Linked DNA regions of Struthio camelus. The protein of the gene in region 1 purifies or fractionates together with the protein of each later gene. This does not show direct contact. Links are inferred from orthologs where the notes say so. Each region holds a gene or a part of one and is shown on either strand. Other genes may lie near its edges.

Region 1 (15,349 bases):
GATCATCACAGAATCTAGGCAAAATGACACAGAACCGATCTGGCACCATCGCTTATCATTCCAATGGTGTCAGTGTGTCATCCATAAATCTTCCTTTTTGAAGGGGAACTAATCCCTCTTTGACCCTGTTAAAAGGCTAACATTAGTCGGTAACTCCAATCATCAGCTAACCTAGTTTGTGGTGATGCGACCCTTGCTATGTAATTTTGAGTGTAGGTGATTTTCTAACAAAAACATTAAATTCCTCCTTGCTAAGAAAGGGTCTCACATGCAGAACTCTCCAGTAAGATAGGCTTGGTGGTATATCTCTCACTTGAGATAAAAATTAGGCTGTTTTGCAGATGATGAAAACATAAATCCTTCCCATTTGAGAACCAGAGCCAAAAAGTTGAGCTCGCAACGGTGATCACCTCTCTAGCCCCAAGTGTTTATGTGCCAACTCCAAACTCTGAGGAATGAAAGCTGAGGTTAACTGAAAGACTCTAGAATGTCAGAGCAGGCTGCCCCTTGGGATCCAAAGGTGGCCCTGTAAAGACAGGAGATGAAACCATACGTAGGGTCCAGGCATTAAAATAGAACAGGTACCAGGGTTTGCATACAGGATGTGTCATTCTTCTCACTGTGGAGATCACTGCACATAAAAACCGGATACATAGGTTCTGGCAGCAGCAGGCAAGAAACAGCAACATACGAGCAAAGTGAATTTTTGCAAATACATGGAAAACAGCACTGGCACAAAGAGCCAGAGATTCACGGGGCATGAGAATCAGTGCACTGTAGGCTGAATTCAAGATCCCCGATTCACTTCGGAGGTCTCTGCTGTACCCCTGACCTACACCTCCAAGCAGAGCATCTGTCAGTACTGGGGCCAGACTTAACCTTCAGTGCTGAAGGGCATCAGGCCCTGAGAACTACAGCGATCTTCGCTGAAGACAGAACGCTTGGTAGATGGACCTGGTCTGATCCCATATGTCCATTCTCAGATGTGTCCGACTGGGGAGCCACACTGACAGCACAGATGACCGTCTCCAAAGAGCTTTGATCAGACGGTTCTAGAAACAATCTCTTCAGAGCCTTAACTGGCAGCTTTCAAACCAGGATTTGAATCCCAGTTTAACGCATATTAAGGAAGGACGTGATTTTAAAGTACAATAGCCATTCTAGAATAACTGTACGCATAGACAAGCTATTAGACATTTCTATTGATTTCATCAAGCAGCTAATAAATCGAAAGACAACCTGGTATCTCAGCTGACTACTATTTTACCTCTGCCTGGGGGATTTCTCTACAAATTCCCATCTCTGTAACAGCAAAAGGCTGCTACCCAAACTACTTACAGACCTCTCAGTTGGAGTTCTCTGTTTAGATGCATTTTCACTTGAAAAGCATCTACTTTCAATGACAAGTATCTGCTTAGACACACGTAAGGGTGGCAGGTTATATGATCCTTTTAAGTTCTCCCTGGCTTTTGGAAGCCCTTAACCTGACCTCCTACCTAACACAAGCACAGAATTCTACCCAGCAATTCCCAGACAATTTGGGTTTGAAAGACAGCCTATCCTAATGGGTATGCAGGCATGAATTCATTTCATTCACCGGCAACTTTAGTTTTGTTGCTGGGAAAGAGGAACGTCTTTAGCCTGAAACTCTAATTTCACCTTCTAGCTAACTGACGCTGTTTATGTCAAGTTCAACAAACAAACCCGCAGAAGTCCAAACCTTCCACCACTATTGCCCCACATAAATAGTTTCAGACTAAACTGTTTGATTTTAAATTTTCCATGAGCTAAATCAAGCGAGTGTTTAAAATCCCTTACTGGAAGGCACTGATTCAAGGACAGGATATTCTCATGATTCTTCAAGTGCACTCTGATTTTTCAGCATTTTTGAAGTGCAGGGAATAAATCACTGGCAGCGCACCATGCCACACACAATAGTTAAGTAATATGATGTTCCTTCTTCATATTTCCCTGATAATTTAAGATCAGGGGAGATAGGTAAATAAACTACTCCGAACTTACCTAATTGCAAAGTATGATCCCTGGCTTGAACATGAAGTAAGGATTTCCTAGTGAGCTTAAGGGATCTGTTTTTCTTCGTAACAAACTGACAGCATGTAAACCAGTAACTTTTTCAAATCAGAGCACTAGAACATCTCTTCCCAAACAAAAAAAAAAAAAAAAAAAAAAGCATATTCTTGATCTGAAAGTGTCAGAAAGTGGCATATTCACCACCTCCCTTAGCCTTAGTTTTTTCCTAACAGCTGATCACTTCACTGTTAAAAATGCATGTCCTATATCTAATTCAAGTGAGCCTAGCTTACGCATAACAAGAACCAGTGGCTGCAAGCTTTCCTCTACAAGACTGATGAACGATGTAGTACTTGTTATTTTCTCCCTGTGAAGCTTGCTTACGTATTGGAATCAAGTTATCTTGCTGTTTTATTTTTGATAAAATAAACAGACTGAACCTCTGTAGACTATTCAATCAGAAGGGACCATCGTGACAAAGATCAACTTCCTGTTTAGGAGAAGTTATAAGAATTCTTTACATTAATTCCTGTTTTAACTATGGTATAGTTTTCAATTTCAGCATTGGGCAATTCCCAGAACCCTAAATAAAGCTGCTCCAACAGTTAACTGCTTTTAGTCCATTGTTTAATGGAGATTTTTCTCCATAAAAACAAAAACAAATACATAAAAAAGAAAGGCAGAAAGCAGAAGGAGTTTTCAGTCCGGATCTGTTCCTTCATCAGGCCAGCGATGCAGGCAACCAAGCTGCCGAATGAGTGGCCAGGAACAGACACTGCTTAAATCAGCCTTGTTCCCGAAAAAAACGTCCCAGAAGAACAGCCTCAGTTCTTAAAAATCCTCCAGCTTAAGACTTCACCACTCACACTACGGTAAGCATAAGTTTTTCAAAGTTTAATTTTTTTATGTGCAGAAATTTTGACACTTTTCTGTACCCTCTCTAGATCAAGTCTTCTTTTTAAAGCATGAAAATCTCAAATGAATGTACCATGCTCGCTACCATGCTACTACAGAGGTAAAAATCATCTTCCTATTCTTCACTAAGAAATTAAACAGCTGCATTCACTGATTTAGGCAAAGCAGCTAGTCTAACATCACACTGGTTTCCCCTAGGCTCTACAGTTATTTTTCTACAATCCCCCCTCCTCTAAGAGTGACCTATGCTCCTTTGTTCCTAAACGTATGACCTCATACTGAGTTCTACTTAAGTGCTTATTGTTTCACAAAACGCAGCTTATTAAGCAATCAGGATGACTCTATAACACTGAACTACCCACCACAAACCTGCAATCTATATGAAATAACTTATTTTGCTCTTCTAGACCTTTAATGAACATTAGATATTGTTGGCTTGAGATTCTGAAAGACCATTAGAAACACATCCTTCATTACAATTTCTCATTAACAGTTGAAATTATCTGTGACTCCTTCAGCGTTATATCAATTTTGCACAATACTAATTATTGTAACTAGAATATTGATTGTAAATTAATTTATAAATCTCACATCCTGACCAAAAAAAACCAACTTAACCAAATATGCAGTCTCACAGAAAACAATAAAATTGATTGACAAGACCAGTTTTCCTATAATCATATTTCATACAATCACCTTTTCAGTTCCTAGTCACTACTATATCAACTCTTAATCTACCCCGGAGTTAGCTAACAACTCCTGTATAAAGGATTTAAACGGGGACCCATTCATTTTCCTCTGGCCCTCTGAAAATTTTACAATGTTCCAGGATTAATGAAAAACTGAGTCAATAATTTAGACAGCTTCAGTGTCAATTCTGTCAAGATTTCAGCTATGCTAACACAGACCTTCCAATTTTAAAACACTTAGTCTTATCAGGACACCCTTAAGGTTATTTGGAGGCCTTAACTGCACTTCTCCATACCCGCATTCTTTAAAGCGATGACATTTAGTCTGAAATTCCTCAATTTTAATGCTTGGCTATAGGAAAATAGCATTTTAAATATATTGTCCTGTATTTTCTAGTCCAAGTAGTAAGTGGCTTCCAGTGTAAACTGGATTTTGAAACTGATGAATACAGCAAGTAAGTAAGGCTTAAGTAATCTTTATTAGTCATTTCTTCACTGCAACGAAGCAACTCTACAAGTAGAAAGGAAGATTCCATTTCCAAATAAAAGTTGTAGTAGGAACAGCATAATATGCTCTACATAATATGCTCTTTTTATTATTGAAGCCACATCGCAAATTTGTTAAGACATTTGCTTTCATTAATATACCTACTTCAAACAACAATGATACTGTTCTCAAACAATACTTTTTTTTGTTCCTCTAAATGCCCCTAACCAATAATTTACAGTGCTTTCAAAATCTTCCAGAATATAAGGTCAGCATTTGGCATGCCAAATTTTGCAATAACCCACTGTTGCAGCTTACCATTTAATAAGGAGAGCATAATAAATGGTGTTTTCAGTTCATAAAAGAAGAGTTAACTGCAACACGGCATGCGATGTATTACAAACAAGCCGTCTGCCATCCACTTTTCTCTATCAACTTTCTACCTTTGGTTCAACAGCACATAATCAAAGCATTTCTGATCTACGGAGCACATTAACTTCAAGCAGCAACCACCACCAAAAAAGCCTCTCTTCTGGCCTGAGCACTTTGCTGCCATTGGGACTATCTACTTATGCTCGAGACTGTTGATAAAAAGCATTCACCTTGCTTTTCCGTGTCACATAAAACACGAGTCACTGAATATGGTTATTGTTGCATCCTTCAAAAGATAGTCGTTTCGAGTCAACGGCAGTTAACATGGAGATTACAGTGTCCCAGAATCATTAAAATAAGAGCAAAATGAAGTCATCAGTCATCAGATGACTGGAATGAACTGAACTAGAATGAGGAGTAAGAAAGTTTCTGGGCGCTCAGGTAAAAATTCTGTGAAATTCTAGCACCACCGCGCAGAAATCATACCTCCTTCCGTTATATTCCTGGATATTCTTTCATCCTGTGAGCATGAAACTAGCATCCAGAATCCATCAGCTCTTTCACCCAGACATCTACAGTATGTCAGATACCTTGATGATCTCCTCCTCACAAAACAGTTCACTGTCCTCCAAACCTTCACCAAAAGACAAGCTACCACACATGTTTTTTTCCCAAGCTTATTTGGTGCCCAGCTAATGCTAGGGGAAAGGTACCAGAGAAAGAAATGACCCCTCCCTATGACAGAAGAGGGAACTCTCCTCACTGTGGTCTGGTGCTGAAATATCAGGGCTGGCTTACCAGGAATAAAGACTTCATGATGAATTTATGAAGTCACAGTTGGGCACCACTGGTCTCACATACAAACAACTACTTTCCACAAACCTGTGGTTGCAATGCAGACACAGAAACATAACTTCATCTTCATCTGCTGATGAAGTTTAAGGTGACAGACTTTAAGCCAAAATAATGCAAGGCCAGCAATCAAATTATGAATTTCTTGTGGATCCTGACAGTCCGCGGTGCCTGCTTGCTGTAGAGCAACCCCAGCATGTAATCTGAGTAAGAATGCAGGCAGAAGCTTCCGCTGGACATACGAAGATTTCCAAACATCAGCTGTTGCTGAACAACGCATTCAGTTGGAACATACATAATTTTGTGAAAAGATCAGTATGATTTGTAGCTTACAGCACCGCAAACCACTTGATTTTATGGGAAAGAACAATAACTACATATTTATTATGTTTCCTGTTTTCAGGAGGAAGGCCAAAAACGACATCAACTTCAAGACTTTCTATGGTAGATTTGTGAGGGCTCCCTCTAGGTGCTAGGCCAGTGAACGAAAACGCACAAGTCATCCAAGTAATTATCTAGGGTAGTTAAGAACTATGGTAGCTAAGCTCTCATGAAAAACAGGCCCTATGTAACCATTAGGTGCCCTTAGCAGCTTCAATTGTTTTCATTCTAGCTCTAAACATGTTCAGTGAAACATATGAGCACATATACAAACAGATATTAGCTTTTTAGTAAGCAGTGATGAGAGTATGCTGAGAATGCAGTTGTAATAGGTAGTTTATTCTTCAGGGGAGCTTTTCATTTATGACTCTCTAATAGATAGTGTAGCTCACAAAAAGCATTTATTATGGGTTTTTAGCTTTTTATACATGCAGCCAAACAACATTGATGAGATATTTAAACTAAATCACAAAAGAAAAAAATCTTCAAAAAAAATTCTGTTCTGCTCACAGTTGCTGAAATACTGTTGACAACATACAATCCAAAAAGATTTTCTACTCAAAAAGATTACATAAGTTCAGTGCTGACTGTATAATGAAAACCATCTTACCCCCTTAGCTATGAGTCAGTATTTGGCTCAACTGCATGAAAAGGGGTATCAGTGTATTCTACCTAGATATAAATTCAGGGGTGTTCTTGTACACATTCATACAATCGCAAATTGTGACTCTTCTGGAAAACAGCAACATCTTCCTCTCTGATGAGATTCACATTATTCGGTCTGTTACAAACCCATTTCTTTCATCTCACGACAGTAAAACATGACGAGTTGCTTCACTTTATTTTAATTCAGTAGGAAAGGGATGGTTACCAACAAGAGTCCCAACAATGATCAAAACATGAAACTGAAGAGCATGTGATTTTGAATGTTATTTCTTCGAACTCAATGTATCACTCGCAAAACTTCGGTCTACGTAAATGTTTTGTCAGCTTCACCTCTTACTGGATCAGATTTAGGGCTTTCAATAGCCGTTTAGCATTCTAGTTGTTGCCGTCATGTTAACTACCTCAAGCCAGCTGCACCACCCCAGACTTGCACTACACTCTACTTACAGAAAGAGCACTTCTCCCAAAATAAAGATGATTCACACACGTTCGTTCATTAGATCTTTACTTTAAGAAGCCCCTCTCCTCACTAGAACAGTTGTTTGCCCCTTTAAAAGAACTAAGAATTATGACTACACAAACTATGCTTCTAAGGTCTTAGAGTAATTCTCAGCAAACAGAGTCAACTAACAAAAGGAAATTAGAATTCACACCACAATTTTGAACATATTACACCATCAGTCCAGATGATGACGATGTAGATGAAGGCTTATTATTCTTCCCACTGTGTATTGCATTCTAAAATGGTGGCCATGTCTGTCTAGGATTCAGCTCGCAAAGATACCAGTCAAACTCACAGCTGCAGAGTTAGATGTTGTTCAACTTGAGGGAATAGTTTACCTGTATAAAAACTATGCCAGACCTCAGGTGCAGCCAGCGGAAGGCCACCGTGGAGCCAAGCAGAGGCGAGGAGAGGACTCCACAGCCCTACAAGACTACAATGCCAACATGGAGGGCAACACCCAAGCAGCTGCCTCCTCTAGGGCTCTGCACGGGGACTGCTCGCCCCAGCAGCGGCTCCAAGACCAAGGGTCTGGCCAAGTTGGAACTTCTTGGGGGCCGAGCAGCGGGGGCAGCGAGGAAGGCACTGCTCGGCCTCCCCGACGAGGCGGGGAGCGCAGCGCGGCCGGGCCAGCCTCTCCCCCCCGCACGCACCCACCCGGCAGCCGCTCCAGCGACTTTCCTGCTGGGCAACTCCAACACTTGGGAGCGACTTTGCCGCTGACAGAAGGGGCGTGCGGGTCGCCTTCCAGCCCCGCGACCCCCGGCCCGTGGCCATTTAAACTTTACATGGATGGAGAAGAAGGAGGAGGAGGGGGGCGGCCTGTTGCCCCCCACCCCCGGGCCGCGGTGCGCACCGCCCCACCTGCCCCGGGGTCACCTGCGCGGAGGGGCCGCGCGTGAGGGGCCGCCCCCGGCGGGAAGGGAGGGCGACGGGGTGGCCGCCGGTGCCGACCGGGCCGGGCCGCCACACAAAGGCCGTCTCCCCCGGCGGCGCCATGCGGGCACTCACCGGCGGCGGCCGCACCTTGCAGATGCCCGTCTGCTCGGCGATGGGCCGGATCTTGTGGATGAAGGCGAAGGGGTCGGCGAACTCCTCCCAGCTGGGCTCGAACACGGGGCACTCGGGCGGGGGCAGGAACTCGGCCATGGCCCGGGCCGCGGGGGCGCCGGCAGCCGCTCCGCCGCCAACCGCCGCTCCAAACAATCCTCCAACAGACGCTGGGGGCCGCCGAGCGCCGTTCGAACGGGACGTGTGCCTCCGCCGGGAGGGAGGGGGGGGGGCGCCGGGAGGGAGAGCGAGAGGCAGAGAAAAAGAGTCCGCCCCGGCCTGGGCGGGGGGAGGGAGGGGGCTGGCTGCCACCCCTCCCCCCGCGCCCGCCGTCACGCGCCGCCCGCCCCGCGCGTGTCTTTGTGCGGGGGCGCCGGGGCGGCCGGGCCGCCCCCCACCCCCTTCCCCGGCCGCAGGCCGAGGCACGGCCGGGCCGCGGGCAGGCTCGCTCTCCGGGGGCGACGGGGGGCTCCCCCGGGTCAGCCATGGCCACCCAAGGTTAAGCGTTGCCGCGCTCATAAAGCGGCTTCGGGGCGCCCCGGCGGAGCCCCGGCAGTTTTGTCAGAGAGGACAAGAAACGACGCTGGAGACGCCGCGGCCTTGGCCGGAGGGCCGGGAGGCCACGCGTTATGGGCGATTCTTTCCTTCCTCTGTGGTGTTCGTGCAGAGCGAATACGCGCTTGTTATTGTTTCTTTGCGCAGTAGAGCATTACGCCTGAAAAGGCAGCGCACTCCTCGAGTTCAGTTTGGGAAGAGCAGCCCGGACAAACTACTCGACAATCCTCCTCCTTCCTCGGCTGCTTGCCTTCCCATTGCCCCGCTTGATCATGAAGGTGCTATAAAACCATTTCTTTTGGACTCTGCCTCGTTTTTAGGAAGTTGCCGCTGCATCTTGCGTGAGATGCACCCTGTATTCGGTGTTGAGGAATTAAGAAGATGGACTGAGACCTCAAAACCTGTCGTTCAGAGATCTCCTTTATGGAGCATCGCCAGCTCGAGCCACAGAAACGCGTCCTTCCTCCCCCTGAGGACCTCACCGCGGAAGTCACACCCAGCAAAGCCAAATTCTCCCCTGGCTTCTCAGCCGAGCAGGGTCAAAGTCTAGCGAGGCTTCAGCCCTCCGCTCCCCGCCCAGCGCGCAAGATGTCCGCTCCGGACAGGGCGCTCCTTCCCCGGGCCCGCTCGCCCTCCCTGCCCGCGCCCGGCCCCGCAAAGCACAACGGCTCCTTTGTTGCGCAGCCCCTTCGGCCCAGGCCCGCGCTCCTTCCCGCCGCCTCTCAACGGCGGAGCCTGTCAGCACGGCTAATGCGGGCGCCACCCCCGACCCCCACCCCGCGGCCCGCGCTCCCTGCCGCCCCCCTCACAGCCCCAGGCCGCCTTGGGGCGGGCCGGCCGCGCCCCCGCTCCCCGCCGGGGCCGCCCCCTCCCCTGGTGCCTCTACAGGGGCTGCTCTTTGTGTGCCGGCGGGGCGGGGGCCGGGGGCGCGCCCGGCCCGGGAGCCCCGGGGCCGTTAAGACTCTCGCGCGTCGGCGAGCAGCACATGGGCCTCCAACACGGTGCCCCTCCGGGAGCTCTGTTTACATGCGCGGAGGGATCCGCCACAGCTGACAGCCACCTCCAGCCGGCGCTTCTTTTTTTAAAGAGCCTCTTCGCTCCCCGTGATTGGCTGCGCCGCGCCGCGTCACCGGCCGGGGCGGTGCCGCGCCGCGCCGCGCGGACGCATTGTCTCGTCCTGGCCCGGGGCGGCCGCCGCCAGTGTGCGCCCGTCCCGGTCCCGGTCCCGGTCCCGGCCGCGTCCGCGGCCCCGTCACAGCTCGCGACTCCCGAGCGGCCCGGCGCTGCCCGGAAGCCGCGGCGCGGAGCTCCCACCCGCCCCCCCCCGGTTCCAGATAGCCTGGTGGAGCCGGTGCCCGCGGCCGGTCCCGTCCCCCCTTTTGTTCGGCGGTTCTGCCCCATTGTCCGCGGGCCGCCGGCCCCCGAGGGCGCGGGGCAGGGCGTGCCGAGGGGCCCCTCCCCCGCTACCGGGGTGAGCGGGGCTCCCCCCCGCCCTGCGGGGGCGCGGTGAGGCGCCCCTCCCCCCGCAGCGGGGAGAAGGGGGCTCCCCTCCCCCGCGCCTGAGGAGGGCGGGAGGCGGCCCTGCCCCCCCCGCAGGGGCTCGGTGCGGGGGCGGAGGCGGCGCCCCCCCCACCCCTTTCTCCCCCCCGCTCGGCAGGCGCCGCACGTAGCGCACGTGCGGGCCGGGGGCGGCCCCGCGCTGCGCCCCGCCCCGCCCCGGCCGCGAGCAGCGCCGCGGGGGCGCCGGGCCCCGCCCGCCTGGTGCCGCCTCAGAGCCGCCGCCGCCGCCCCGGGTCCCGCTCTCCGCGCCGCCGGCAGGGCCCGGCCGCCTTCCCCGGCGCCACGTAATTTCGCAGTTGCCTACACTGCGACATACTTCATTCGAACAAGCCTAGTTTTACACCAAATGATTCAGGTTGCTTCCTGCGCGTGCTTTGTTCTCCAAATTATTTGGCGAGCTCTGTGTCACTCGCTAATCGCTATTTATTTCGTACTCCCTCCTGGATCACTGAAGAAATACCGGAGCAGCACCAGGCTGCCGTGAGCTCCCGGGACCGCACAGCACCACCTCCCCTTCCACGCTCCTCCCCTACTGCCGGCTGGTCACTCACTGACAGCACACAGGCTCAACCGGTAGAGGTTTTTTTTTTTTTTAATTAATAATGTGCCTAGTCGAGCCCTTTGGCACACCCTCTCCTGCCGCACGCTGCCCTGGCAATGCAGTTTTTCCCCTTCCACACAGGAGAAGCAGGCGGTTAAAGATTAACTCCACGCTGTTGACTGTGGTCTCTACGAGACCCTCGCCCCTACCGCCGGCTCAGGTTTGCTAGTTGGCCTTAACCAGCCATATGTACCCAACATCCTGCGCAGCTGAATTAACTGCCGCTGTCGGAATTTGTATTTTCAAAATCTAGCGACAACCCGTCTCCCACCATTAACATACTCTATCTTTCCTTGGGGACAAGTAGGGCTTTCCATACACCCAACTAAGTCATCCTTTTGGGCTCGGTAATAGCAATTATATTGTATTTCCGGTCTTCAGGAAGAATTTCTTTGCATTTGTTACCCAAACCCAGGAATCCCACCGACAGTTTCTTCCTGCAGACTCTGCCTCTGTTTGTGCTACGGAGACGCCCATTTTACTACAGCTGCTTCTCCACTGAAGCTCAAGTCATGCATCTTCTGGAGGCACCTTGTCTGAAGAATGGTCCCATGCACTGCCAAAACGCAATAGCTTTCCCAGCCTCTAGCTGTCTCCTGTCAGCATATTTCAGGGGATGGAGTGATTTAAGTTAAGAACACTTAAGTAGCTTAATACGTAAAGCAGCATTGTGCTATTTTTAATAATTGTTCCAGACCAAATTAAAGCTCTCTGCTATTGCAATTCACGATTAAGATCCAGCACTTAAACACACACACAATGCCTGCAGTTTTTAATACAACTTCAATTATTGATATAAAATTTTGCTCCTTCAAATAAGATTTGTTCAGTGTTATTGAAAATCTAAATAGGTTTTCACTTATATAAGTGTTAGCTACTTTCTGAATGCATTGGTTGAAAAAGTCAAATATACCTGAGATGGAGAGGGGGCTTCTGAGCATGTAAGCAGCTAGATGGTTTAGGAGCACGAATCCCTTAAATCGACAGAAAGCTGATGGCGCTTGCAAATACAGCCTGAACTTCCAGCTTACCAATTCCTGGCTGAAATCTAGTGGATGATGCAGAGTTCAGCAAAGCTGAAATATAAAGGACTATTAGATACCTTCCAGCTCTGCGCTTCTGCACAGATAGAGTCACGTCTCTCAGAGAGAAAGGGCTGCAGAATGAATCAATAAATGAGCAACCTGCTTAAAGCCTAGGCAGCACAGCACCTCTGTCTGAGGTGTCAAGGGCTGAGAAGCTTTTTTCTGGCCAAGGCCTTAGGTTTGACTAGTGCATTGCATCAGCAAGCATCTCAAGAAGGTGCAGCATTTGATGTCAGCATTAAGCGCTGAGCTTTTTCCTCAAAGTCTTCCCTTGCACATATGCTCTCAATTCCAGGAGTCATACCCTCACCTGTATTTAGGGAGACAACCATGCTCAGGTTGTCAGAGCCCCTGAGAGATCTTTGTCATTTGAATCACCTTAGATTTTCATCAGCTCTGAGAAGAGGCTCCTACCATTCATTTCCTTTGCTGAAATTTATCTACGGCTTGCAGAAGTCAGTGAATCTGCTTCCTTGGACAAAGCAATAGCAAGTTTAGATAGCCAGAAATCTCAAATTGTATACAAGTTTAAATACATACCAACCCCTTTTTATACCTGCACTTTATACCTAGGGAACCTCCAGTACAAATCATCTTTCAAAACAATCTAGAAAGAAAACTAAGCTCTTTAATCCTCTTCAAACAGATGCTCTGCATCACATCCAGAACTCAAGCGTCTCCAGCACAGACAGGAGAATGTTTTGAGCAATGGTTAATTGTGACTTTGGGTCTGAAAGTTCCCCAGGAGTTTCAAGGATTGTTAAACATCAGTGGCTTCTGATATTACTGAGAAGACTTTCTTCACTGTACGACTCTCTTAGGACTTGTTCAGTCAGAGCTGGAAGGACCATGTTTAGCAGGATCATTTCTGCTGACATAGTCAGGTACAAAGGCCCCCTGAGGGACTCGGATGGGAAAATACTAAGGTAAAACAGGTGCCTTACCTTGGAAGTTACAACAGAAGAGAACACACACTTGCTACAAAGATCTTAAAATGAGTTGAGGTGGGAGATGAGTTATCAAGGGATGAGCCATGATAAAAAGTAAGTTCCTTGAAGGGAGGGTGAGGTGATTCGGGTCTGGCTGGAATGATGGAGGTTTCTGAAGGTAAACAGTTAAGTCCTGGAGGGATGCCCCCTTCAGGCATCTTGCTTGTCTTTCCACCTTGCTACCTGCTAATGCAAATGCTTCATCAACACAAATGAAAACTTTTGCACGCTGCTTTCTCTTGTATCCTACTTCTGCTGTGACATCTGCTTAGCATTAGTTGTATTCTGGGGATTAACGTGGCTTTTTTGCCTTAGAAACCAATGGCTCTGGATTCTGTGCTGAATTTCCCCAAGAACTGCAGAAGCACAAGTTGAAGAAAAGCAGATTTTACTCAATTAGAATGAGAATGCAGACATGCCTCCTTGATGGTTCAGTTGACTATTTCATTAATTAAAACCTCATTACATGGGCTTTCTTTGAGCCTGTTTTCTATGTTCCCAGTGAGCAGAAATTCTCATTTGCTGCAGTTACAGAATTAGACCCAGGAGGGCTGGCAGCCCTCAAAGACTTGGAGAAGATATCAAGTAAGGGATCAAGTTGGCCCACAGTGAGGAGCATCAAGGCTTCTAGCTGAAGGAAAGCTACTAAGTACTCCTTTCCCTGGGACAGGAGGTTCCTGACAGAATTCCTCTATCCTCATTCCCCTCCTCATCCAGGGGCCTTTCTGTGCCTAGCTGCCTGAGCTCTGTCCTGAGGTTCCATCCAAAACTGTTCTTCACATTTTTCTAATGCTGAGTCTCACTTCCCATTCTGCCTCAGTACAGCTTTCTTTGTAGAAAGTCCTATCAACCTACAGAGATGTTTTGCTAGTCTCGTTTCTTAAGTTGCTCTTGCTTGGGATGGATGGGAATCATAACTGGGATTTTTCCTACTAGTTCAAGCCTCTCCCCTTCACTCTTCTGCAGTAGTAATTATCCATGTGGCACTGCCTATTTTGCTTGTTTATAATCAGAGCCCATATTGGCAAGCATGGGGTTAGATATCTGACCTTTAGACAGTGCAAATAATGCAAGCTCAATCTCTCCCCCTTATTTAGATGTTCTGGCTATCCTAGACCACTTCTCCTTTTAGGACAAAGGCCAGGTACCAGTTCAAGTCATTCCAGTTAAGCCAACAGTTAAGTCGGTCAGATTGGTATCTGCTAACTCTCAATCAGGTCCTATCTGTTTCTAGGCATACACTACAGAAATGTTAACTCCAGGGCAAAGAACGGCCACTCTTGAAGGGGAGCAGCTGGCAAGACACTAGGCCTCAGTCAGAAGGATCCTAGCAGCTGGGAATCCCCGTTTAGTTTGTGCAACTCAACAAGGGTTCTAATTGCAACCACCTCTTCTGGCATCCACTGAGCTCTGGACAAAGAGCACTGGAAACTTAGATGAGGAAAGCCCATTCCCTGGGCCTCCAAGCACAAAGAGCTGTCTGTGCTTAGGACACTGAAAAAGCAAAACACACACTGCTTCCAAAGGCTCAGCAATTAGCCAGTCTCAGGAGAAATACTAACATTACCTCAGGCTTCACTCCAGAATCACCTAGAAGCAAGCTGGAGTAGATCCTGCCCATGGGAGTCCAGTACACAATTTTAGACCAAGATGTCCATAGGCTTAGTACCACATGTGGAGTTTACAGTCAGATGTGTGTCATAAAGGAAACTCCTTTGAGCCAAAGCATTCATTTAATCAGCACAGAGTTTGGCCTAATTAAAATACTATGTGTTTAGAACACAATACAGGGCAGGGAGGAAAATATGCTGAGCCTCTCAGCTCTAAGAAAATAGGTTCCTGGGAACAGATTTAGTAAGCAGAATCTATGACAGATCAAACCAAACCAGTTTTCCTGGGCAAACAAACCAGCAGCCTGTAAGAACTTGCAAAGCCATTTAAATTTCATCATCAAGGCTAGAAAAGAGTTTAGCTTTCCAGAAAGAGCCAGCTGCCCCCAGAGATGCTGATGCATGTCAACCCTTGTTGAAAGCACAGACTATTAGTGTCTAGCTTTTGCTGTCTGGGGATCCTGGTTAGAAATGCAGGGAGCTTCTGGATATACCAGGCTTGGAAATTTTGTAAGCACAGCTTTCAGCTTGTAGACATGGTAGAGGGTCTCAGACTATCTCACATTGCATCTCGGCCAATTCAGAGTCCAAGTCTCAACAGAAGCATTCTTAGATGAAGAATTTGGTACAGTCCTTTGCTGGCACCTTTTGCCACAAGTCAGGAGAAGCATCAGTTTCAATAAGTAAATGTCCTGCTACTTCTTCCAAAAGCTGAGCTTCATGCCCTGCTCTGGCTCACGCACCATTCCTCCTTCGTATCTGTATGATGCTGTGTGTGTTCTGGGGAAGCCTAACAACTACCACTAGCTCTTAACTCTTCAGATTGCAGGCTGAATGTGTCAGCTACAGGAAACCATGCAGAGGGGCCACGTTGAAGGGGTAGGCAGGAAATCTGAGCCTTGTTTGTGGGCTAGAACTGAGCTGGCTGACCAAGGACGGAAGTCCCACAGCTGCACACAGCTCCTAGTGGGGACTATGTCAATAGACAGGTAAGAACAGCTGGT
Region 2 (16,060 bases), on another chromosome or scaffold:
GCTGCTGGCAAGTGTGTCAGTTTGATAAGAATTTTGCCTGAAAAATGGCTACAGAATCTGGTGTGTTAAAACAAAGTTACATGGTTTAAAAGGAGGGATCAAATAAATATAGTTGAAAAGTACAGAAGACCTTGTTCTTTAGGCTCAGTTTTTCTAGTCTTTTTCATGCAGAGAGAGTTTCCAGGGGATTTCTTGAGAAGTAAAATACTATCTTCCACAACTGAGGCTGGAGGAAGAAGTCCTTCAGGCATCTGTTAGCTCTGAAGCTATTTGCACACTTTGGGAGGTGAACCTGTGTTCCTGAACGTTGCTGATGCTTAAAGTGTGTAGCTGATATTAGTTATAAACAGCAGTTCTCCCTGTCATCCACATGAAACCCTTTGTTATCGTGCCTCACAGCACATTCCCTCTACCCCTGTCGTGTAATTGGAAAGCCTACGTAAAGCCCACAAGCTCGATTCCCTGCTGCTCTACTCCTGTTGTAGGCTCCACTGACTTTGGTTTTACAAGTGGAGTAGGTATTACAGATGAGTCACTTCTCTTCTTTGCGAGACCTCTGGTGTCAGCCTTCTTAAGACCAGAATTCTATAATGAGCTTTGCACAAAGCAGATGAGGAAAATAGCATTTGCCCTGAAGCCCGGAGACAGAGCCTATTTCACTTTAGTCCTCCTGGCACATAAATCATGACCGTGGCTTCCCTGTATTCCACCGCTCCAGATACCCATTTGCTGGATCCATATAAATGAACTAATGTTCTCTGTTGTCTCCTGCTCATCTATTTACATCCAAAGCACTAGACTCTGCAAGAGACTACGTAAAGGTCCAGGGACATGTCAGAGGCTTTTGGTCAGACTTAATTGGCAGAGAATGTCACCAGACTCACTGTGCTTCAGAGACCAGCAAACTAGTAAGTCAGTTCTACATGCTGCAAGAATTCAGTTTATGAATTTCATTTTGCACCTTGTTAGAACAACTCCTTTAGCTACAAAAATCTTGTAAAAACTGAAGAAAATCATATTTCCACATTCTTATTTGACATTTATTTTCTTTGAATATATTCTAAATTAGCAAGGAAGTATACTTATAAGACATTAAGCAAATAATGTACGTGTGAATGAATTCTCTGATAAGCAAGACTGAATACTGTGTGAATAGCCTGGTCTATGCATTAGAAATTTCCAAAGCCAAATTCTGTTTATACTTATTACTTTTAGGGGGAGGGGTGGAAATCAACTCCGTATCGTTTTTGAGTGTACAAAGTTCTGAAAATGACATTTTGGATAATCACATTTTAGCTTTCTTGTTCTTTTAAAATCTCTGTACAATATATTTTGATAAATGAATACCATTTTATTAATAATAATTTGCTCCATGTTTAAATAGCCCGTATGTTTAAGTTACACATACCAGGTAACCTTTTAGGCTGAATGAAACTTTGAAATGAAACTGATACTGACAGTAAAGCAGTGACATATTATGAAGATGAAAGCATACATATTGAAAGAATGAAACAAGTTAAAAAAAAAAAAGTTTCCAACATCAGCACTGAAAATAGTCCAGTTTATATAACATTATTCCTCAATATTCTGTTAAGGCAAGTCTGATTCTAACAGAGCCAAATCCTGTGAATACGTCAGCAGAATCATTCGCTTCTGAAAGTTATACGTGCGCAGAAGGCCCAGACTGGAACCTAAGACAACGTCACCATGGTACAGCTGTTCTTAGCAGGATAATGACAAGGTATTTCCATAATTTTTATTAAGATTGCTGACGCATTATTTGTTTCACTTTTAAACAAAACTGTGGAAAGTTAAATATTAAATCTAATTCTAAACCTGATTCTATCTTCCACTTTGCATTAATGGCTATACTACGTAACACATTATTTGTAAGAGGAAACGAACAGAATAATAGTGGGATAATAGTAAGAATGTAATGGGAAACAAATAGGATACCATTAAGGCCTGTACATCGTTTGCAAGGTGATACATGTAGTAAGCTGGTTGCTCGTGTTTGGGGCCTACAATATTTCCCATTCTGCCTCATTCACTTTTTTGAAAGCGTTTGCTCGATGTACGCTCAACATCTTGATTTTGAAAGGATCTGATTCAACTACTCTCAGCACCAAACTGCAGATACAGAACACTCTTTAGTACGGAATCCAAAACCAGTCACAGAACTTCAGCAAATACGTCCAAAAACTCTGCTCTTGAATGGTAACATGCTAAATAGAGACGGTAGTTTTTTCTTGATTTAATTACAAGTGTAACAAACGAATTGCAGGGCAGTGAATGTATCCTCTGATACATTTAGAAATTTGTTTCCACTGCATGGCAACGTTTTCAAAAGCTGTGCTCTCCCAACTAGTAACAGTTAAGTCTTTTATAGCTTGTCTCCTGGCATGGGATTTGATTACCAAGTACAAAGATTTAGACAGAGATTTATTAAGTAACAGTTATATTATGTTGCAATTAATATGTAGGAAATTCACAGCCTACTTAAGCGTTTAAAAATACTTAATGTAGGAAGCAATTACACCTCATTTTCAAATTATTCCCCTGCCTACAGTACTCGCTGCGGACAGTGCAAAGTGTGTCTTGAAGGACGGCGGTGGCAGCGCGGCGAAACACGGCGCGCCCCGCGCAGCCGGGGCAGCCGCCGAGGGGGAGGCCGGGGCGGCGCGGCCCCGCTCCGCGGCGCAGCGCGGAGCCCCCCGGCGCGGGCCGAGGCGCCGGGCCGAGGCGAGGGCTCGGGGCTGGGCGGCGGCAGAGCCCCGGCGGCGGCGGGGCCGGCTCCGACGGGGCCGCCGCGGCGGCGGGGTTCAGGGCGGCCCCGCCGGCAGGCTGCAGGGGCAGGTGCTCGGCGATTCTCGGGTGTCGGCTAGTCGGGTTGGGCGGGGGGGGGGGGGGGAGCGGGGGCCAGCGTTTGGAGTGCGGCGCCTGGCAAGGATTAGCAGCGGGTGCTCCCCTGCCGTCTGCGAGAGGCACAGCCCTGCGGCCCGGGCTGGGCACCAGCAAAGCCAGGTGAGGCAAAGCCGCCAGGAGAAAGGAGGGCTAGGGTCTCCCAGGGGCCTGGCTGCTGTTTGTGCTGAGGGAGGGGAGAGGAGGGAAGGAAGGAGCGAAGCTCTTTCCCGGCGTCCCCTCTCCTTATGGGCTCGTGGGCTCGTTTGCAAACCAAAACCCCGCTGCCGCTGAAAGAAGGCCGGAGCGTCTTGAAACCAAGAGCAGCGGGAAAGGGTCGCAGCACGGGGGCCGGCCGGAGGCCACGCTCAGACGCCCTGTGCATCCCCGCCCGCCCCCCGCTCTCTCTTTACCTGGCTGTACTTGGCCTCCTGCTCCAGGGAGCTCTTCTCCAGCCCGTTCACGGCGTGCTGGGCCGCGGGGGGGAAGCTGTTTCGGCCCAGGCTGCTCCATTCCTCCACCTTGGGACTGGGGTAAGACGACGTGTCACTCGCTGCTGGGGAACACAGCAGGGAAGGCAGGAGTTAGAGGCGCTGGTTGGGCCGCGGGGCAGTTTGCTGGGGCTGGACACGGCTCCCTCTTCCAGCGGGACCTGCCCCGGGAGTGCAGAGAGGGCTCCGGACCGCAGGGCGCTGGGGGACGGGGGTTGCGGGGCAGAGCTAAGGGGAAATCTCTCCTTCGCCCCTCACACCTTGCATATGTCCGGCCTGAGCCTCTGGGGATCCCCTGAGAGAATCGGCTATTCCCTTCGGTTTTCTACTGTACAGTTGATGGAAACGGGAAGTAAATCGCCAGCAAAGCGCAGAGCGGGTTGATGTTGCTCATCCTCCCGTCGCAGCGCTGGCAGGACAGAGCTGCCCCCCCGTCACATGCCCCCCAGGGTTTCCCAAGGTAGATTTACGTGAATCGCCTCGTGTGTGTGTGTGTGTGTATGTGTCTGTGTCCGTGTGTCCGAGGTCAAACGATATCCTCTGTTAGAGACAACCCTGATAGGGCTGAAAAATGAACCAGGCTCCAAACAACTTTCTGAGAAAAAAATTAAAGGGGCGGGGGGGGAAAGGAGCAAAAAGGGAAAAGGGAAGGAAAAAAAAAAAAGAGAGAGAGAGAAGTCCCATCCTTTTCACGATCATCGGCCGTGCCATGGGAATACCGGGCAAATTCCGCGGACACGCCGGGGAGCCGGGCGGGGGGAGCGGTTTCCCCGAGCCGCCCGCGCCCGGCCGCGGAAGAACCCGCGGGGCTGCTGAGCCGGGCCGCGGAGCCGCCGGGCCCGGGCAGCCGTGGGAAGCGGCTTTCTTGCGACACCGCCTCGCTCGGCCCCTCGCCGAGGCTGGGGAAAGGCACAAATCTGAAGTTGTCTTAAGAAATTGAGCTCTCTCGGTGAGCGCCCTTTTCTGCTGATCTCACACTTTCCCATGAATAGGGGCTTCCTTTCCATGTCAGCAAGGTCAGTTTATCCTATAAATCAAGGGCAAGCAGCCCCCATCTGCGGCATCGGCTGCTCAGCAGCCCTAGCTCTGCCCTGGGAAGGAGGGGGGGGGGTGAGATTTTACGCTGCAGAAAGACGTATGCAGCTCTCGAGGTCTGAGAGACCGGGGGGATAGCTAGACACCCGGCAGCACCGTCAGAGGCCTGCCTGCCAATGTGGTGTTAATAAAAGAGGAACTCACTAAAAAAATCTCCCTTTCTCATGTAATTGTTATGTTCTCTTTCCTTGTAATGTTCATTTCTAACACTACCTCTCTCCGGCATAGAACAGAGACTGCCAGGAGCGTATTTTCTAAACTCAGCTCCCAAACACATTTGTTCGTGTGTGTATATGTACGCATGTATGTATTTTGCTTGAAAAAATAATCAGCTGTTCTTTTTTTTGTGAAAAAAATAATTATTTTGTAATACATAAAGGAGTAATTTGTATTTGTAACACTTGAGTAGTAATTTGCTACTGGATTGTTGCCGTTAAAAACGCAATGAAAACAGAAATCAGCCCCCCCTCCCGCCCCTTCTGCTAATTGGGAGGGAAGAGTGGGACACAGAGATCGCTGTAGGCGAAGGTTATTTTAGACTGTTGTTTTAACCACATTCACTGTTAGCTCGCTGGCAGAGACCGAAATGGAAAAAATGTCCCTTTCTTTGCGGCACAGCCTAGCGAGCGGCTGGGAGAGGCGACACAGTTTCCAGCCGGAGTAACAGAGAGAAGGTGGAAAGGATAAAAGAAGCAAATCTTCAGGGTTTCGTTTTCCTGGACCACCACTTCGGAGGAAAACAAAAGTATCAGAATGAAAGCAATTAGGTGACATTTGAACTTCCTGCCTGGGCAAATTTGGCCTGATTGCGAAAACTAGAGAGAACGGATTTCTCGGCAACGCCAAGGAGGTTCCCGTGACTCGAGGGCGGCCGCGAGCCCGGGCCGGGCCAGGGACGGCAGTGCGGGGGCCAGGCCGAGCCGGGCCGGGCCGGGCCGGGCCGGGACTGAGCGCACCCCGGCCGTGGGCCTGCCGCCCCCAGGCCCTTTCCTCCAGCCGAAGTTGCCACGTCTCGGGCCACGGCGCTACCGGCGACGCCCGATATTTAACATTTGCTGCTAAGCCTGCAGCCCATCCCCGGGACCTCTGATCTGCCCGAGTCACGGGGCACGTTGTTCGTTGGCTAACTCGGGCTGGGAAAAATACGCCAAATCTGTAGGTTTCTCGAGGCGGATCAGTGAACCCTCCTTCCGACCCGGCGAGGAAGGAGCCAGGTGGAGACACGGTGGTCCTGCCTCACTGCGGCCGCGGCCCCGGTTCCCCCGTCTCACCTTGGTCCGTGATGGAGCGGATCCCCAGGATGTCCGTCACCGAGTGGGAGGACGGCCAGGTGCGGGGCATGGCCATGGCGCTGGGGATGGCGGGCACCCCGGGCGGCGTGGGCACCTTGGCTCCTGCAGCAGCGATGGGGCTGGGGTAGGAGTAGATGTGGTTGTAGGGCAGAGCCGGCTGTGGGGGCGGCTGGTGCTGCTTGTACGATTCGTAGTGACTCTGCTGAGACAGGTTCCCAATTTTGTTCCGGAGGATGCGGCTGATGGAGCTGACCGACGGCACGTTGTACTTGTCACACACTCCGTCAGCCAGCAGGCGATCCCGGATCTCCCAGGCGAAGATGCCCGGGTCCCTTTGTTTGTAGGTCCGGATATGTTTTACCACCGTGGGGGTGGTGACCCGAGGCTTGCTGCCTCCGATAGCCCCTGGTAGGATGGAGCCGGTCTCGTTGTAGCGAGCCAGGATTTTGCTGACACAGCCGTGGGAAACGCGCAGTTGCCGGCTGATGTCACACGGTCTGATACCCAGTTGCGCCAGTTCCACAATCCGGAGCCTGATGGCATTGGGCAGGGGTCTCCCGTTGACAAACACCCCCCCGAGCTGGTTCACTTCCCCGAAGGCAGGTTCTGCAAGCAAACACACAAACACACCCGTTGGACATGCAAACGGTTCAGAAGAGGGCGTCCGACCTATCCGTCATTGAAAGGTAGATGTCACAGCTCGGAGAGACCCCCCCAGTCACTCCCCGCACACTTCTTTCAAATAACGGGATACCCCCGGAAAAAAAAAAAGTAGCAACAAATGTCAAAGCTCTCTAAACTGTGCATCAAGCATACTCCAAACAAGCACATTCCAGAGATGAAAAATGAGATCGCCCCACCAGACAAGTCAGCTTTATTGCCACAGGAAAAGGAAAATAAAGAAAAGAAAAAGGAAAGAAAAACCTTTTTCAAAGACATGGGGGGGGGGGAAGCACTTGAGGAAATTCTGCTAAATCTTGGGAGAGGCAAGGGCAACGCGGTGCTTCTGAAAGACTGGTCGCGACTAACTTTTTAAAGACTATTTCTAGTGCTGTTAGCGCCTCTCGCTTAACAGCACAATTACATCAGGCTGTAAAACAAACGTGCTAAAATGTTAACTGCTCAGATCGGTGTCAGGAATAATATACAGCGTGCCACAGGCTCCAGCCATCCGCTCGGCTGCTATCCTCCCTCGTTCTCGCCTAATAACATTAATAATAAACCAAGCAGTCATTAGCTTTCGCTCTTCCCTGCTCCTGACCCTTAACGTGTTCTTACAACTTGTAGGAACACGAGCAAAGTCAATAAGGGAGCTGCGGCGGCACACAACGGTGCGCGGGTGCTCCCTCTCTCTTGACAGCACTTGAACCCTCCTGCAGCTTCCAGCCACTTACCCATTCCTCTGAGCAGGACACCTCTGAGGCTGCCCTGAATCCCAAACGGAGACCTAACAACAGAGACGCGCTCCCAGCCGCCTGCGCTCCCGGCTGCACTAGCTCTCTGATTTCCACTGAGGAGGTAGCAAGGGTGCGGGGAAAAAGGACTACAAGGAAGTCTGCTTCCCGAAGACAGAGCCTTGAGTTCTGCATTTCAACCTCAGGGCAACGTGGGCAGGGCTGGGCTGGGCTGGGCAGGGCGCTGCAGCCCATCACTCACCCGAGCCCGCCCCCGGGGGCGGCCCCGCCGCCCAGCCGCCCTCCTAATGGCCAGAGGAGATGACAGACAGCACAATCCTAGCGGCCCTTCCGCTCTCGCTTGCAGGCGTGCTCGGCACCTGGGTCCCCAGTACAATAGAAATCACTATTTAATACCTGCCTGGCAGTAAGTTTTACGGAAAGTGCAATTAATGCCGGGGCCGTGCTGCTCGGGGCTAGCGCTCTGGCAGGGCATCACCCTGCGAGGGGGCCGGGGCCCTCTGTGCCCGGGGGCGGGCACGCTGCCCCGGGCCGCTGCGCCCTGGGGTGCCCGCGGCTGGCAGGGCGCAGCGCCCGGCACCGCCGTGCAGCACCGCGGCGGCGGCGCTTCGGCCTTCCCAGCCCTTGTCCAGGATAAGGGGGGACGGGACGGGGGGGCTTATAGCCAGTAACTAGAGATTTCCCTCCCCGGCGCTTTTACAGAAGAAAATAATGACGCCTTGAAACACGCACGGTTTTCCTACATTGATTTTGCATGTGACGGAGAGAAAGTTATTGTTTACCACCGCCTTATTGTAATCTTTAAATAAAGCTTTTTTAAACTAATGAACATTTCACGGGTTAACGCAAGAGAGTGTTGCGAGCGATGAAGGTTAAGTTATTTTCCACGGGAACTACAAGCAGGTCGCGAAATCAGCCGCAGCTTCGCTTGCACCGGGAGAAGACGGACCGGAGGTCGCGGCGCCTGGCCATCGGGGTGCTGATATTCCCCGGCCGTCAAAGTAAAGACCGTCTCGGGTTTAGTCGTAATCCCTATATAAAATATAGCACCGTAAAATGTCAACGCCTTGCAGCTGATTTCAACCCTTATCAAAGACACTGCTACGTATTAACAGTTAAAAGAAAAATAGACAAAGCTGCTAGGAATTAAAGTATGTGTGGGTCATGGTGTGTTTGTGTATGTGGAAGAGAGTGATACGTGTTTGGTTTGGCTAATCTGCCAGCTTGTGTGTGTGAGCCTCTTACACGCATCCCACATACATCATGTTACACAGAGATCAGAGGCTTCCTAACTCCAAATAAGAATTTATCGTGTTTTTCTTTCGAATGTTTTGAGAGTTTTTGTTTGTTATTTTTTAATCGACCCTCGAAGAAACGGGATCTAGAAATGAAATAAAAAATTAAAATAAATAATATATTGACTGGAGTGCACGAAATATCAGCGACTAAAATATAAATTTGCTGTCTCTGAAGCGTATGAACCCTGTATGAGTATTATTTTAAGTGAAATATTTGTAAGTAATACTTATGTAAAAATCAAATGAAGTGAGCTGGATGTCAGAGCCTGCACATATCTCAGTGAATACGCATAATTAGGAAGAAGTAGGATGCTATAGGAAATCACCCAGAAATTAATGGCATGCTGCAGACGTTTTGTGGTGGGAAGAAGGCGGTCGTGGTTCCTTCGCAGGCATGATTTTATTTGTTTGGAACATCGGCAGATCCTTTTATTTCCTCCGCAGGCATTAAAAAATAACTATTTTGTACGGAATTTCTGTGCCTTTTGTTCAGAAAAGCGAACTACGCATTTAGAATATCGCACTTGTAAATGGTGGTGCTTCTTCAGCCTTGATAAAAGCACCCCCTCCACATGGGCAAATACCGTCTCCCCGAGGGGATCGCATCCTGCGCAGGGAATCCTCGCGGGCATTTGCTAGGCATTAGCCCTTTTTGACGTTTTGAGTTGAGTTGCTTTGCTCAGAGATTTTTAAGGGAGAAGGTATCGAACTAGTGGGACCCAGACTCAGCATTTAATTAGTTTAATCATGTAATGTAGCATAACAATGGAGGGGAGCGCGTGTTCATAAAAGTTCCGATCTCGACTAATATTATACTTCTTCTCACAGTATAATCGCTAGACGAATCCCTTACAAGGCTGCCCTTTTTCCAGATTCAATTTCCCCTTGCCTTACTGAACGAGAGCTTTGGACGTGCCAGGCGACTCCTGCCGCAGCCAAGCACTGCAGCTCTGCACCGCGATGTTGGGACCCCTCGGCCGCCTGTGTTGCACAGACATTTCCTTTCCTCCTGTTTCTTCAACTCCGCTCTAACTGAGTAGCGAAGTGCGAGTGGGGGCGATCTCCAGGCACACAGTTTGTGTAAGCCTGGCCTTGGGACTCCTGAGATGCAGGGCCCGCTCTGAGCCCCTGAAGCCCCCCCGCCTCCCAGGGTTATTCTGATGCTCTGGATGTGACCCTGCGCTGCTCTCTCTCGCCTTGCCTGGGCAATTTCTCTCCCCATCTGTGCCTATTGTGTTGACAATCGTGTCCTTTTCTGTCCCCCCCGCCGTGTTCTCCAACCTGTCTGTTCCCCCTCCTTCCCTCTCCCACCCCTCCACCCCCGAGCCCGCCTCTGATCCCCTGGCTATTTGGTTTCTTTGCCTTACTCAATGTGTGTTCCTGATGTGGTCCTGTCGGAAAAGCTCGTTTACTCTGCTCGAGTCTCTAGTGGTTTAAGGATAATGTTTATCAGAAGTGAACGTGCTCAACTTGTTTCCATTCAACTGCTGAGTGTGGGCTGAAATACCAAAGGTCACAACTACAGTGAGTCGGTAGAGGGCAGGGGGAGCCGAGAGGAATATGAAAACATTACAGTATACAACAGCCTGGTGATCGCTTGTGACCTGCCTGGCAAAGAGATTACTTTTTTCAGGTACGAAATAATTGAAGAATTGAAGGGGAAGGGCGGGGGGAGGGCAGGAGGGGGAGCGGGGCAGGAGGTGCCTCCCCCCGGGAAGGGCACTCGTGGCCGGGCAGGGCGGGGAGGGGGCTCGCCCGAGGTGCGGGTCACCTCGCCGCTCCGCAGGCGGCCGCCCGGCGCGCACCCGCTCTCCCACCGCGGGCTCCCCCCGGGCTGCGCAAAGCAACGCAAAGGTGCGGAAAGAAACCCGGGCAAGGGCAACCTCAGAGCCAGATTCCCCTCTCTCCCCTTCTTCTCCTTCACCGTGGCAGTGCTGAAGAGAGGGACTGAGCTGTGCACGCTGCTGTCAGAGCCCCCCATGTCGGTGCCCGCCTTTCCCTCGGGGGTTACTTCTGCGTGTGCTACATCTTTATCGGGGGATACAAGAGGGAAACAAGATGCTGCCCCTCGGCTTCTCCCTTTTCTTGCTCGCATGGCTAACCGGGCTCTCTCGCCCGCTTTCCTTCGAGAAATCTCGCTCGAGTGGATTTTCGGTAGGAAATCGCGTGTACCGACGGCACTAGCCGGTGCGTGGCCGGCCGGCTGCCTTCCCTCCCCAGCCGCCCTCTCCCCGCTTGGGCAGAGCCTGCGTGGGCAGCCCCGCTCCGCCGCAGGGGCGCCCCGAGGTCGCGGGAGAAGCGCTCCCCGAAGGCCCGGGCGATCCCCCCTCCCGTCCACCCTCCCCCCTAAGTGCATTAGCGGCTTCTCCAGCCCCGGCGCTGCTGGGGCCGGGGAGAGAGGGGATCGCCCGGGCCTTCGGGGAGCGTTTCTCCCACGGGCTCCTTTGAGCGTCCTCCGCCGCTAGAAGGGGCTTCCCCGGGCACGGCGGCATCCCGCCCTCTCTGGCCTGGCTCAGGCTGGGGAAGGGCCCGCAGCCTGCCCCACTCCCGGCAGCGAGACGCTCACCTCGGCATGTTTTCCGCAGACAGCTCCCATCTCCGTGCATCGCCTTCAGAGAGAGCCTTTCCTCCATGAGGGCCTTCCAGTATTTCAGTAGAGGCTCCTCGTGATTTAGTGCCTCACTGATCTCCAGCTTCCTCTGCTCTCCCACTGAAGGAAGAAATCAGCCAAATAAAACGTGACACCCCCCCTCCCCTTCCCAGCCCCTCTTTGAAGCTGCTGATTTTTAATGATTTTTTGGAAGGAAGCTAAACCCCTCTCAGCGACTGTGTGGGGGGAGGTAACTACTGAGGAGCTATTAAGGCAGAAGGATGCTCATACGCAAGATATTTTGTAAGTAAAAAGCCTCCCTGTGACCCTTCCTGAAGGCAAAGGTCCCCTGCACGGGTAGCAGGATTGCTCAGGGTGACGTGGGGAAGGCGCGGGTCTGATGTGGCGGGAGTTTAGAGCCACTGAGCCTTGGTGGCAGGAGAAGCACGGAAGGGAGCCGTCCTGCTGCCCCCCCCTTCCTCCCCAGCCCCAGGCATACGGGCGCAGGGCAGATCCGCGAGAGCCCCCCGGAACCTCTGGGGACAACCCGAAGGGCAAAGAGCACCTTGGAGTAGGGGGAGGGATGGGGGGCAACGCGGTGGCGGCGTCAGAGAGGCTTGGGGACAGCTCTGAAAGAAAGGCAAGGAAAAGCAGGGCAGAGGCAGGTGAAGGGGCAGCGACCCCCCGGCCTCTGGCAAGGAGGGCTGCTATACCTGAGCACACGGTGTGCGGAGGAGTGAGCAACCAGAGAGGGTATTAGGGCAAACGCAGAGACCGTTATAACCCTCAAAGAGAGAGCGAGACGAGAGGGCTCTGCCTGCCCTTTGGAGGTGACCGATCCCGGAGCGAAAGTGCCGTGTGGTGTAGAAAGAGATGACACCCACCTAGCTTTGAAATGAGGCTTTTATTTTGCACAGAGTGTTTCTTAGACCCTGGGGTAGAAGATCCCACGGTGTCTCCCAGGATCGCTTGCGTTTGCTGCGATATGTGAGGAACTAAATGCAGGAACAAGGGGCCTTCGCTTGTTAGCGGCTGCCATGGGTATTTCCTTACGCGACAGAGCAGCGTAGCTTAGGAGGTCAGAGGAGGCACCTTGCCACCGAGAGGGGTGAGGGCAGGGGCTGACCGGCCCCGAGGTGCCGGGGGCACAGCCGCAGGGACACCCGCCGCCCCGCGCTCTCCAAGGGAAGGTGGCCCTGGGCTCCCCTCTCCCTCTCCCCGCCGAGCCTGCTGCCTCGAAAATACTTGGCCTCAACCCCAGGTTTCAGGTGTGTCCACCCTCCTGTGCAGCCGTGGACAAACTCACTTCAAGAAAGTGCCTGGCAGATCCTTGCTTGGAAGTGGCTCTGAAGGAGAGGGGAGCTTTTTCCGAAGGAGATGACCCCTTCAGCCAGCGTGGGGCTGCAGACAGGGACCGCCGCCTTCCCACAGCCCCTCCGAGCCCCTTGGCGACCCCCGGCTCCTTCCCTGCTATAGGGGCAGCCCTCGTTTTCCATTTGTCCTCCCCCTCTAGGGGGGAAGAAGGCTTCCTGAGAATGGTCCCGGGAAACGTTGACGATCCTTCTTTGGTACAGATATCGTGTCTTTTCTGTTATTGCTGCCCACTGCCTTACTTTAGCTCACTAAAAAACAAATGCCTATACATTTGTGTTCACATACGCTGCCTGCATGCATATGCGAAAGTATATGCGAATCCCAGGGGGAGGGAGATATTTTACATTAATTCAATTAACAAAAGATTGAAAAGCGCATGGAAGTACTTGCAACAACTCTGAAATGCTCACGAAAGAACTTCAGATTTTGTCTTGTCCTCAAACAGTTCTGGGGGTAGGGAGTGGGGAGGACAGTGCCCTTGTTTGTGTGTCTGTGTGGGTATTTCAACTTTCGCGAATCGATTCGCAGTCAGGGACAGATCGGAGCACGGAAGCGTAATAGGAGGAAGTTTTGTTTTTCAGAGGTTCATCAAATACAAACAACCCACGTCCGACCGTTTCGGGCACTCTTAGGCAGCAATGGCGAGCAACACGCAGCTGGGTCTTAGAGTCACATTGGCAGTGGCAGACCCCGAAACCAGGGGGGAAACGGCAGATACAAAGAAATCAAGGCAGCCTCCCCTGTGATAATACTTTTGAATGTCATGTTCTTTGGGTAGGACACAGCCGCCTGAAAAAAGTAGTAGTTTCTTTTCTTGCCGCGGGGTCTTGCCCTGAAGGAGCAGGGAGGGTCCGTTTCACCCGTTAAAAAAATTGACTTGCAGTGTCGGATTTTTTCAGCTGCCCGGCTGGAGCGAAAACGTTTCGCTTGTCCTCAGGCAGCGGTTCCCCGAGGCTCCGCGCTTGCCTGTTTTCCGCCAAAAGCGTACAGCCCTGTCCGTGCCCAGGCAGGCAGTCCCGGCGCAAGGCCAGGCCCTCGGCGGGCTCCGCCGGCGGCCCGCGCCCCGCGGAGCCGCAGCGCAGCAGGCGGCAGAGCGCCGCGCCGCTGCGGCCCACGGAGCCCTCGGCGCTGCCGGGTCCCGGGCGCCGCGGGGCGCCGCGGACGGGCCACCCCGCCGGCCCCGCGGGAGACGGGGCCTGGGAAGCTCCGTGAAAGGTCAGGCGAGCGGTGGCGAACACCTCTGGGTGGAGGCGCCGGCAAGAAGCGATGTATTTTGCTCCCCTCGGGAGTGAGGAGGTGACAGACAGACCCGGTTGCTCTGCAGTGACTGACCTTACACCTCCACCCGCCACCCCCGTCCCCAGCAAACCCTCTTCAGTGAAGGCTCGAGCAGGCGCTTGCACTTCGCTGTAGCACACGGCAGACGCATGAACAGGTGAAGTAAAGGTACAGCGGTGCCTCAACGGGCAAAGAGTTAACGGCGTCCTCGCAGAGTGGGCTCCCCCACGAAGCCCCACGGTGGCCCCCCAAGCCAAGCCGCTCCCTCCTGCCTCTCCTTCCCCACGCGGGGCGAGGGGTCCCACTCGTGGGGGCTCCCGCCCGGCTGCGGCCGCCGGGCGGCTGCCCTGCACTGTCCACCCTAGCTGGAATATTCAGGTCAAGTTTGGGAGGGTTGGGGGGGTTTCTTAATGATGTGTTAGTTGCTTGGACAGATTTAATAACTTTGCCGCCACTTGTTCTTAGCAACCCCTCTGGAAACCAGACAGTGTCTCATTAGGGCTTTCCTGGTGCAAACAGTTGACTTGAATGAGCGGTGCTGAGTTAATTTCTCTTTGCACTAGGATTTGTTTAATGACATATAGGAAAATAGACAATTCTCATGTACCAGGCCATAAAGCTACAGAGGGCCAGATTTTAAAAGCATATTTTGTTCTCATAAAGCAATCGGGTTTTCATTTGTCGCATGTTACATGAATTTAGAGTAAATGAAAAAAATACCTCTATTGTTCTGCGTTAAATTATAGGAACCAATTGGGAATTTCTAGGCAATTTTCTCCATCTCTGCGTTTGCTTCTACAACACCTAGTACCAGTGCCACCTACAGGAATACTTGATTTTTGAGCTGTGTTCAAGTAACCAGAAGCGTTTGAGACGGCCCTGTTAGCTCTGTCGCCTGCCCGGACACACGGCAGAAATTCGGACTCCAAAAGCTGCTGCTTTGCCCTGCAGCTTTCGTTTGAGCTGTGCACAGGCACACACATGAGCGCGCACGGGTGGGCAAACACACGCAGGCGGTTCCGCGCCGCGGCAGGTGGAAGGGACCGAGCCCTTCCTCCGGGGGAGGGGGGGAAGGGGGAGGCAACCCCCGCAAACAAAAGCTACAGCAACATTTGGAGGGTCCCCAGGCTCTGTGCCGGCAGGGGGCCGAGCAGAGGGGGATCGCAGAGCGCCCGCCCTGCTTTCCCCGGGGGGAGCCCAGCGCACCTACCCGCACGGGGAATTTACGAGCGCGCCCGGCGCAGCGGCCGAGATGAGTGCGTGTATATACTGCGCTCTCTGCCTGTGCCCTGCAAGAGCGAAACCTTGCTCTCTGGCTCACGGTGAAGCTTTACGCTACGATTGATAAAGAAGGTCTCAGAAATTCCCGGGGAAAACAATTGCTACTTTTCTGGCGTCTTTAATGGAGACGGCCTTGGCTGCCAGCGGACTATCACCTTGGCTGCGTCCGTGCAGTCCCGCGGGGTCCGAGGCGGGTCCCCAGGAGCCGGGGCAGCGGACGCGGGCCCCGGGCCGCGCACCCGCAGGCGGCCCCGCCGGCGCGGAAGTTTCCTCACTTGACTTCGCGCCTGCTAATCCTTTCCCACGGTTAAATTGACACTGTAAATATTTGTCCTCGAGATGTGCGGTGATGGCGATCCTTGCTGATCAAGTTTAAAAGTGCGCTCTTTTTCACTAGATCCTGTGCCTTTAAAAGTTTTCTGACCCTATGCGTCTATATGTGCATATACTCTTTATCAAAAAAATGTGTATACCTTTACATTCATGCACTATTTTTGCAAGATAACCTGAGGTTTGTACGCAGGAAGGGACAGCGGTACCTGCGGCTGTAGGGGAACGTTGCAGGTTATCCAGGTGGAAATATCAGGGAAGGTGGGACTGTCAGGGCCCTTGAGCACCGGGACAAAGTCTGTGATAGGCATTTGCAAAAGAAAAGGGCTGTTAGCGTTTTCCACCGAAACGGCGTTTTCTCCCTTGCATTGCATAGTTACATAATCAGGAGCGCTCGTTTCCTGATAGTTCAGGAGACGGGAACTGCGATCAGGTTTTTTAAAAGAAAGAAAGCTTCTCAGGCTGCACCGCAGAATTTCTGCCTATTTGTAATGTTTAACAGTCTAGAGAAAACTCTTTCATTCCCCATTTGAGGGATTCATTTCGTTGTGAGAAAAAAAAACAAAATAAACAAACAAACAAAAACAACGCGATGAGAAAAGTGAGCTCCACTTTGTCACCTCGCAGTCCCTGCTCCCTTGCGCCGGTTTGTAGCTGCGCTCCGCGGGCCCCCGAGGGACCTCAGTGCCGCGCTTTTTGCCCCATTCTTAATAGC

What was found.
Region 2: the proteins of KDM5B (region 1) and PAX9 purify together in Homo sapiens (affinity purification with western blotting, with the first as the bait; 3 studies listed by BioGRID). This does not show direct contact. The link is inferred for Struthio camelus from reciprocal best matches to the Homo sapiens genes KDM5B and PAX9.

Annotation. Positions count from the first base shown.
Region 1 is NC_090965.1:2,925,870-2,941,218, reverse strand, and holds the start of KDM5B (lysine-specific demethylase 5B), read right to left. Parts: upstream 8,279-15,349; 5' UTR 8,045-8,278; coding exon 7,907-8,044; intron 1-7,906. UniProt on the Homo sapiens protein: Histone demethylase that demethylates 'Lys-4' of histone H3, thereby playing a central role in histone code. Does not demethylate histone H3 'Lys-9' or H3 'Lys-27'. Demethylates trimethylated, dimethylated and monomethylated H3 'Lys-4'.
Region 2 is NC_090946.1:56,059,742-56,075,801, reverse strand, and holds the start of PAX9 (paired box protein Pax-9), read right to left. Parts: upstream 7,661-16,060; 5' UTR 7,178-7,660; coding exon 7,174-7,177; intron 6,386-7,173; coding exon 5,759-6,385; intron 3,458-5,758; coding exon 3,315-3,457; intron 1-3,314. UniProt on the Homo sapiens protein: Transcription factor required for normal development of thymus, parathyroid glands, ultimobranchial bodies, teeth, skeletal elements of skull and larynx as well as distal limbs.